Drosophila melanogaster: one gene and its partner. The protein of the gene in region 1 interacts with the protein of each later gene in a pairwise test. Each region holds a gene or a part of one and is shown in the gene's direction. Other genes may lie near its edges.

Region 1 (4,650 bases):
CGTAAATCGTTAGCTATATCGGACTGCTCGGCCAGGGAAATGTGTTGATCTCGCGATTTACCGATGGCGCATTACGGAATAGCGAATGGCGCAAACAAAGCGTGGGCCAAAGCAGTAAATATATGTTAATAAATACAATAACAAACTTTGCACTAGTGTGTGTACACTTTTTGGGGCTGCTGATAAAAGCAACAACAACAAACAAAACACACACACACACCCAAACGCTTGCGAAATGTACATACGTGACTGAGAATCGTTTATTTGTACCTATTTGTATAGCTAACACCTCTGCCTCGGCCCTATCAATATACGCAGGACACCGCTGTTGACTAGTGGTTGGCTGCAAGGCGTTTATTAAACTGAATCCACGTAATGTTTAATGATATTTGGATTTCTTGTCGCGCAATTGTTTTTGCTCTGTTTTGCACACACACCAGCACCCACACAAAGGCAAGTGGGACAGCAACAGAGCAGAGCGAACCAGGGAGTGCTAATCGAGAGCAGAGTTGCATGCGCCAGTGCTGGAAAGGGCTGCGTCTGCACCTGAGCTGCATACATATTGAAAATCATTCACTTGCATTCAGGATAAGCATCTACCACGAAACTAATAAAACTAAATGCCATTGTTAGTTATTTTAGAGTAAAACATTATGCAAACGATTATATACATTACTATAAGTTTTATTTAAAAAATGAAATAAGTCTGTAAAGTAATTGCGGCAGTGTTTTAGTTCCGAAAAGCGAACCACCGAATCGTGAGCACGAGCCAGCATAGTCTGCATCCCTGGATAGGTGTTCAGTGTTTGCCAGCCCTGGTCAGGTCTGGTTCACCAAAAAAGAAAATAAAATTACATTTCAATCTTTCCAATATGCAAATATCTGCACGAAAACCAGCGAGAACAGCATGCTCACAATAAAGAGCCCCCAAACAATGTGACTCGTATCCGCGCAGAGTGACGTTTCGTGCCTTGCCCGAGTGCCAAATCCAAATCCCAATCCAGGCGCACAAAATCGATGCAGATGCTGTCTGCATTCTCATAGAAAGTGCAACTGAATAACCGATGGTCGCCAAAAGCCACGATGTCCAGTAATAATGACCAGTGAATAAACAATTATGACTCGAGCATCGAAAAATGCTGAGGAACGAATACATAAGCAATAACAAGAAGGTGCTCAACTCGGACCAAAACAAGTACTACATGCTAACGGTCGAGGAGGCCGATATGTATTGACGTTGTTACAGTGGAGCTGATTACACAAAAGATCCTCAGAACGATTTTATGTAAGTATGTAAACAGAGGCGGACAGGCCCACCTTGGGCCGCAATCACAATCTTCTGGCTTCGGCTTCCCTTGGGCTGATAAGAGCAGAGTGCTTAGTGCTGCTTATCTTTCATCTGCAACCTGGCCGATGTCGTCCGCCGTCTACTTACTACACCACTACTGCCCCCCATTGTCTTTGCTAGCGCGCGTTTTATACCCTGACACAGAGTTGACTGGGTGCAGCAACACACTAATTGTAGGAGCTTTACGATAGTAGGGATATATGACCATTTCCTGGCAGACAGATTATGTATATTGTATATGACTAGTCTAAATATAGACTCGTGTTCAGTGCCTAGCTGATAATGAGGTCAGAGTGCTGGCATTCCAATTGGTTGCCAATTGTTAGGGTATTAAAGCTTCGCTTCCACCACTGTCCCTTTTCGATTTTATTTTACTTCGCTTTTGCCTAATCAATGTCAGCACTGTGCGTCGTGATTTGTAGTACCTTCAGCTGGAAGGTACTCCACGCACAGTGCTGTTATCGCACTCACGGCGCGCGGTTCGGATTTCAGTTCATTTCTGTCCCGTACTTTTCCACGACCACCGATGAAGTTCTACGCGGGAGAAGGGTAAGCTATAGAGCTTGCATACGTTCACTTGTGAATCCGAGGATCGCATTCGAATTGCACTGGACGGACCGCCGTTTGTTTTGGTTTTTGCGCGGCTTAATTACAATTACGTTTTGCATTCATTAAGAATTCCGTGACCAGGTTTCATGCGACTAGCCCAGCACTGTGGGCTCCAATGGCACTACTCATTCATAAGTCCAGATAACAGCGTTGGAATTGTAAAGTACCCGTTTTTGGGTTCTATGTTTACCACTGTGCAGCGCGTTCTATTTGACATTAAACTAAAGCGATCTTTATCGCGGTGATTTGGCGAAATTGAACGTTTTTCCCACATTTCAACTCTTTACTTGTTCATTTCTCTCCGCATTTTGGGTTGATCCTCATATCGTACCATATCGTTTATCCTAAACCTTGTATCTCGAGTCCTCTATCTAATCAATCATTTTCTTGAAGTTCAAATCAAAGGCTTTAACTTGTTGAAACATATTTCTTATTTTATCCGCAACTCTTTTTTTCTCACCCAGCCAAGGCACGAACATGTCCGACGGCGTCAGCATCTTGCACATCAAACAGGAGGTGGACACTCCATCGGCGTCCTGCTTTAGTCCCAGCTCCAAGTCAACGGCCACGCAGAGTGGCACAAACGGCCTGAAATCCTCGCCCTCGGTTTCGCCGGAAAGGCAGCTCTGCAGCTCGACGACCTCTCTATCCTGCGATTTGCACAATGTATCCTTAAGCAATGATGGCGATAGTCTGAAAGGAAGTGGTACAAGTGGCGGCAATGGCGGAGGAGGAGGTGGTGGTACGAGTGGTGGAAATGCGACCAATGCGAGTGCCGGAGCTGGATCGGGATCCGTCAGGGACGAGCTCCGCCGATTGTGTTTGGTTTGTGGCGATGTGGCCAGTGGATTCCACTATGGTGTGGCGAGTTGTGAGGCTTGCAAAGCGTTCTTTAAACGCACCATCCAAGGCAACATCGAGTACACGTGTCCGGCGAACAACGAGTGTGAGATTAACAAGCGGAGACGCAAGGCCTGCCAAGCGTGTCGCTTCCAGAAATGTCTACTAATGGGCATGCTCAAGGTAATTTCATAGTCCCGAGTTAAAGTTCCTAAACTCTAATCGCTTTAACTTTTCAGGAGGGTGTGCGCTTGGATCGAGTTCGTGGAGGACGGCAGAAGTACCGAAGGAATCCTGTATCAAACTCTTACCAGACTATGCAGCTGCTATACCAATCCAACACCACCTCGCTGTGCGATGTCAAGATACTGGAGGTGCTCAATTCATATGAGCCGGATGCCTTGAGCGTCCAAACGCCGCCGCCGCAAGTCCACACGACTAGCATAACTAATGATGAGGCCTCATCCTCCTCGGGCAGCATAAAACTGGAGTCCAGCGTTGTTACGCCCAATGGGACTTGCATTTTCCAAAACAACAACAACAATGATCCCAATGAGATACTAAGCGTCCTTAGTGATATTTACGACAAGGAATTGGTCAGCGTCATTGGCTGGGCCAAGCAGATACCTGGCTTTATAGATCTGCCACTTAACGACCAGATGAAGCTTCTCCAGGTGTCGTGGGCAGAGATCCTGACGCTCCAGCTGACCTTCCGGTCCCTACCGTTCAATGGCAAGTTATGCTTCGCCACGGATGTCTGGATGGATGAACATTTGGCCAAGGAGTGCGGTTACACGGAGTTCTACTACCACTGCGTCCAGATCGCACAGCGCATGGAAAGAATATCGCCACGAAGGGAGGAGTACTACTTGCTAAAGGCGCTCCTGCTGGCCAACTGCGACATTCTGCTGGATGATCAGAGTTCCCTGCGCGCATTTCGTGATACGATTCTTAATTCTCTAAACGATGTGGTCTACTTGCTGCGTCATTCGTCGGCCGTGTCGCATCAGCAACAATTGCTGCTTTTGCTGCCTTCGCTGCGGCAGGCGGATGATATCCTGCGAAGATTTTGGCGTGGAATTGCACGCGATGAAGTCATTACCATGAAGAAACTGTTCCTCGAGATGCTCGAGCCGCTGGCCAGGTGAAAAGGATTATGCGGGCGCCCAAACTAGTTGATCTAGCTGATAAGCAAAGGTGCAAATATAGTCTTAGGTATATATGGATGTATACTAGAGTAGATTAAGCGTAGGATAAGCCATGTATATAAATAGTAAAATACTTGTCGGGTAAGATTAGTTCGCAGAAAAAATCTCTTTTAATGGACTACCAACTACAGCAACTGGAAAACCCTACTTATCTTCTAGAATCGGGGTGTGCTTACACTGGTTAAAGGCGCATATAGGTGTTATGTGTCTAAAGTTGTGAGTCACAGATCTTCAATAATTTGTTCAATTCTCACTGGTTCTGATATATGTATATGCCGCAACCTTCTGATGTAACGTATGAATTTGTGGGCACTTTTAAAATACGATAGTGGTTCTACAATACAATGGATTATACTGTTTCTAAGTGTCATGTAACCCAGTGATTCTGTGTCTATGTGGTACACATGCGGTCAAAAGAATAGCAATGTCGTCCGTGAATAATAAACCGTTTGTAACTGTTGTTTCCATACTCCCTAAGTTCTGTATTCTTTGGGGATTTTCTTTTCCTAAACAAATTCAAATTAGTTTTCTAGAATTCAGTGCATTTGATCGCATTTATACATCACTATTTCCTAATCCATACATAGGCTGATATATCGCAAAACTTCAAAAAATTAACCATGACAAAGGTATTCTGTGGTCCTT
Region 2 (5,013 bases), on another chromosome or scaffold:
ACAAAAGTAAAACACGCTTACACACAAGCATGTGTGTATTGTAAAATATTTAAATGATATGCCCTGCTGTTGTTATTGTTGTTGTTGTTGTTGTTTCATGTCTGGCCACGACGACCTACTTTTTGCGCAATCGAACTAAAAATGTGACGATCCGGGGAGGATGGAAACGCCCGAGGGGGTGTTATGGTGCTACTACATATATATTGTATATGTAGGGAGAAAGAGAAAGATGGATGGCATTGTATTCAAGTATTAGGCTCGTGGAGTTATTGTTGATCTTCTCCTTCTTCTCCTTACATGCTTACACTCTTGCTTGCTACTGGAGCACTGAAAAAAATAACTGGTAATCAAATTTCAAATAGTAAAATCCGAAGTTCAGTCGCTCTCTTAGAAAAAGATAAATTAGTCTTACTGTACCATATTCAATATATTTGTCTATTAATTTTCTTTCTCTGTATGAAATTGAACTTGATGCAGCGAGAGAGACGTATATAAGCGGAGTGAGGGAGACAGCGTGAAGGTAGCGCAGCTTCCGAATCTTTTTCGTTTGTTCAGTTGCGTGTGAGGTCTATATGCATCGCATTCGGTGTAAGTTATGATTCGGCAATTGCTGGCAGGGAAAGTTTAAATTTATATTTAAGGCGATAAATTGGAATCAGTCGCTGAAAATTCCCCACAGGTTTTGTGAAATGAGCAAAAATTTCGGATTAAGATTATTGCGAAACCTGTTTGGAAGTCATTTTTTTGCTAACAACATTAACAAGAACAAAGGAACTTCTTTCTTGGGAATGGATAAGATCTTTACGATGTTCTGTTGTAAACAGCTATTCCTTTGGATTAAGTATTAACCACTGGTCTTGCCACAACTCAATGAACTTCTTACGACATCTTTCGAATTAATTGGTCGTCGTCGGGTGTTACTGTAGCAACCTAAAGGATTGACAGACCTTCTATAAGATAGTCCTTGAATGATGCAAGATGAGACCATAGCTAACGATCACAAGGACTCCTGGCAATCTGCAAAAAGAGAAGCCCAAGAAGCTCACAATGTTAATAACTACTTTTACTGTTTTTTTATATGAAATACATTTAAACATCGAAATAGTTTAGTGATAGACGGGTGTAGCATAAACAGGTAAACAAGGGGTTATCGTAGTGATTTAAGTTGACCCTGCCTGTTCCTTTGCCTTCTCCACGAGCTGATTACATTGCGATTTGATTACGTTTGCTTGGTCTGGGGAACTAGCTTCCCTTATCTCGTTTCACTTTCCGTGCTGTTTGCCAAACTAATCCAAATATTTAACTCCTATGTTATAGTTCTTATCGGCCGACTAGGGAAATCATGGATAAGTCTGATAGTATTTAGTCATCCAAGCAGCTTTTCTCGCACAGTGAAAAAGATCAATTCTCTAATATTTCTTCTCATTTTGTGTGTGCGAATTTTGGTTAGTTTTCGAAATACCTAAAAATGGTTCATCAGTTCTGCGGTTAAATACTCAAAATTTTGGAATATTATATCAAATTTTCACTTCGAAGTGAGTGGCACTGTTTTCTCGGTGCAGAGATTCTAAAATTATAACATGACTTTGCCGTGCACTGCACTTTGTGAGCGAGGGAAATGGGCGGAAAATGGGTCCTGGACGTGCGGAAATTTTCCGGCGTCGCTGCAAAGTAGACTATATGGTCCGAGCCAATTATCGACTGAAGTGGGGCGCACTGACATAATTTATATGGCTCTAATTTGAATCCGCCACTCACTCGATTCGCTGTTATCGTCCCATTGGGCAGAACCGAAGCGCTGGCTCCCTGCCACCTGAATGCTTCTACGAGGCGGGCGGACCGGACTTTATCTTATCACTCCGGCCGGAGCGCACTTGTCCGGATAGGCAAACTTGTCTGATAGCACACGGAATATGACGTTCACGTCGGCTCTCCGCTCTTTTGCGATTTTTTTTGGTGCGGCTGCCCAGGTATAAATATGATGGCTTCGAGGCTATGGAACCTTTCGCTCATTTAGCGCTCGAACTCCCGTACGTCGTGTTCTACCAAAATATCCGGAGCAGTGAAGTTGTGGCCAAATCAAAACACTATCAGCTCTTATCGCACGCGTGTGTGTGTTCATCATCGATGGGCTTAGCCGGATTCCAGCGCACTCAATGTTTAATTCCTTCGAGAGCTGCGATTTTTCGTGTACCGGCGACATTTCGTTCTACGGCGAAGATGTGATCCCCGGTTCTAGTTTCTACGAGTGCGATTCCAAGCCGCAGCGGCAGCGGCAGCTGAGCAGAAATGGCCCAGCTTTTGGGCCAATGCCCATCAATGAACCCACTGTGAACTTTGGCAACGGGTCATTCTACAATGGCCCTGCTCCCGGAAGCCAACCCTTCGTGGGCGCTATGCTCGGCCCCAATATGTCCTCCACTGGGATGCAAAGGTACCATCCGTACCATCAGCAGCAGCCCCAGGACGCCTTCTATCGCCAGAGGGGATCGCTTCTGAACGTGGCCACGCCCTGTCGCGAAAGCCGCCCCTGGAGCTACGCCTACTGCTATGGCTACGCGCCCACGAACACTCAACCTTGCCAGTTCTCCCAGTTTGTCGACATCGAGGATTTCATGTGAGTGACGACCAAAGTGGTTGGTCAATTTGTTGTTTTGGGTAATTCTGTGATTTTGCGTTTTTCACGAAGGGTATTCCTTAATCTCATTATCAAATAGTATTCAAGTACGAATATTTACACAATTTTGCTTAATAATTGTTGTTACATAACTGTGGAGAGCTCTAGCTCATTCAAGTAAACAAAACAAAAACCAGTTAGAATCGGTGGCCGAATGCCGCTAGCGATTTACATTTTCCTGGAGGCACCTGAACGAGCTGAGCTCCTAGAAAATTGGCCGTGTTCCATTGTAAAACCCGAGCCGAAAGCAAACGGCGCTGCACTTATCTATGCTTATTTGTGAATCGCTTTTATAATAATATTTAGATACGCAGCAAAAGATAGGGCGAGGGGGACGGAACTATGGCGCGAGAGAGGTGTCGTATGAGTCAAGGTTCGGTGGGTTATTCCCAAGAGAGGTACCGTTTATAAGATTGTGGGCTGGAAAAGACTTTTTCTCTCACTTCGATTGTTGCGTGGAAATAGTAAATTGCTTGTCAGTTGTGCTGTTGTGTAATTGTTATCTGCCGCCGATGATTTTATGTGGGGTATTTCCCAAGGAGTTATCGTTAGGGGTCTGCTGAAGGTTTCACAATCCATCTGGTTGATGTATACGATTATCTGGCGATTGACGCAGATTACAGCCCCTTTCCCTGGACTTCACCTCCTTGAAAACTTTGCATGCAACGTGCGCAGCAAGCAAATGTTTTCGTAATGGTAGTCGGATTTGGTTTATTTACGTTTTGCACACGTTTAAGCCAAATTCGGCTGGCCCATCTCCATGCTAATGAGCCGAAACCAAACTGACGCAATTGCAGGACGGCGCTGCCCGAAGAACTCCACCCACAATATGGTGCTCCCAAGAAGAGACCAAACATCCCTGACCCGCTGTTGCGCCTCGATTTACTGTCCCATGAACTTGGCATTAGCACTTCGAGTCGTATTTTATGTGTTTTCGCTGATATCTCGCCCGGAGATACGGCGCACTTGGAGGTAGCTTGGCCAACATTTCGCAATGCTCGCAATTCAAACTCAAACAACAGCGGGTCAGTATCCTAAGGTGTTGTCGGATAAGCCAGCAGGACTTAGATGGCCACGTGCGGCGATCGTGGTGTTTGCATATTCAAACTCATTTCATACACAAAGTGCGGAAAATGGTATCTTAAGATCAGCATACTACATCATTATAATCATCATACGGAAGGGTAGTACACATATTAAGGTGTGCTTTCAATATTATAGCTTAATTTTGTTCAGTGTTTTGAGCTGCTTTGGAGCGGAAATACTTAGCAACAACAACAGCAGCAGCACCAGCGGCAATAACAAGGCAATTCTGCTGGCGCAGGCAGAATATTTAACATGCCGTACTTGCCTCTGTTCTAATGAACAGACAATGGGGCCGATCGAAAATATATATATGTATGTGCATACCTCCCAAACCAAAACCCCACCCCCCCGGCGAATATCCCACCATTTAAGCAGGCCATTAGCATGCAATTCAAAGTCACTCTCCGCCGCTTTCTATGGGCCACGAGCTAGCAACTATCGGATTTGTGTTTATTAATGCATATATAATATATATAGAAATCCACGGGTCTACGCCTATATTAGTATTCACTTTGCTGGCGAAGTAATATAATACTATATAATAATTATTTGAGCAGCCATTCGAGTTTCGCTTCAAACTTTGGTTTCCATCCATCAGTTGGTTGATTGACAATGAAAAGCCCTCTTATCTAAACTGGTTTCTGTTTTATTTATTTTTGATTTATTTGAATGCATTGTTTCTTCACTTTCACAGAGTTTCCTAATCAACGTTTTATCTGGGCGTTCAGAATACTCTTTTAATAATAGAAATTCTTTCGAGTGCAAAGTCAAGTTTAGCATTTGTTTATGTTAAGATTTCCTCTGTTTACAATCGATCGATTAGTGGGGTCCTATCTCATATTTAAATATGTCATAATAGAAGATTATGTTCAACAACTAAGTAGTTTGCTTCGATTTATTCAATTTATTTACTTACAGTAAAAGAAAACGGGAATACTGTTTTTAATAGATACTTAAGCCATTATTAGACAGGCGGCAGACTGACAATAGATCATATTGTACTGTGACTTTGTCGGCTGATATGATGGACTTTTGATGATTGCGACTCCTCCGTTGACAGGCGGTACTTAGGGTTTGTTAACAAAAAAGTTTGATATTTTCGCGTTGTTACCGGGCAGATTTTCCCAAGTGAACCACCTGACGTGTTCAGGTCTTTTTTCATCCCAGCGGATCAATAAAGCAGCGTTGGCAAATTTTGAACAAAATGCCAGGAAATAAATGTACATACGTGCTGAAATGGGCGTCACCCG

What was found.
Region 2: the proteins of ERR (region 1) and sima interact in a two-hybrid assay, tested with the Drosophila melanogaster proteins (2 studies listed by BioGRID).

The regions. Positions count from the first base shown.
Region 1 is NT_037436.4:8,182,814-8,187,463, reverse strand, and holds ERR (estrogen-related receptor), read left to right. Parts: upstream 1-1,793; 5' UTR 1,794-1,874; coding exon 1,875-1,897; intron 1,898-2,242; exon of another isoform or gene 2,243-2,421; coding exon 2,422-2,980; exon of another isoform or gene 2,981-3,036; coding exon 3,037-3,945; 3' UTR 3,946-4,103; downstream 4,104-4,650.
Region 2 is NT_033777.3:30,060,922-30,065,934, forward strand, and holds the start of sima (uncharacterized protein), read left to right. Parts: upstream 1-2,000; 5' UTR 2,001-2,156; coding exon 2,157-2,617; intron 2,618-5,013. UniProt on the Drosophila melanogaster protein: Functions as a transcriptional regulator of the adaptive response to hypoxia. Binds to core DNA sequence 5'-[AG]CGTG-3' within the hypoxia response element (HRE) of target gene promoters.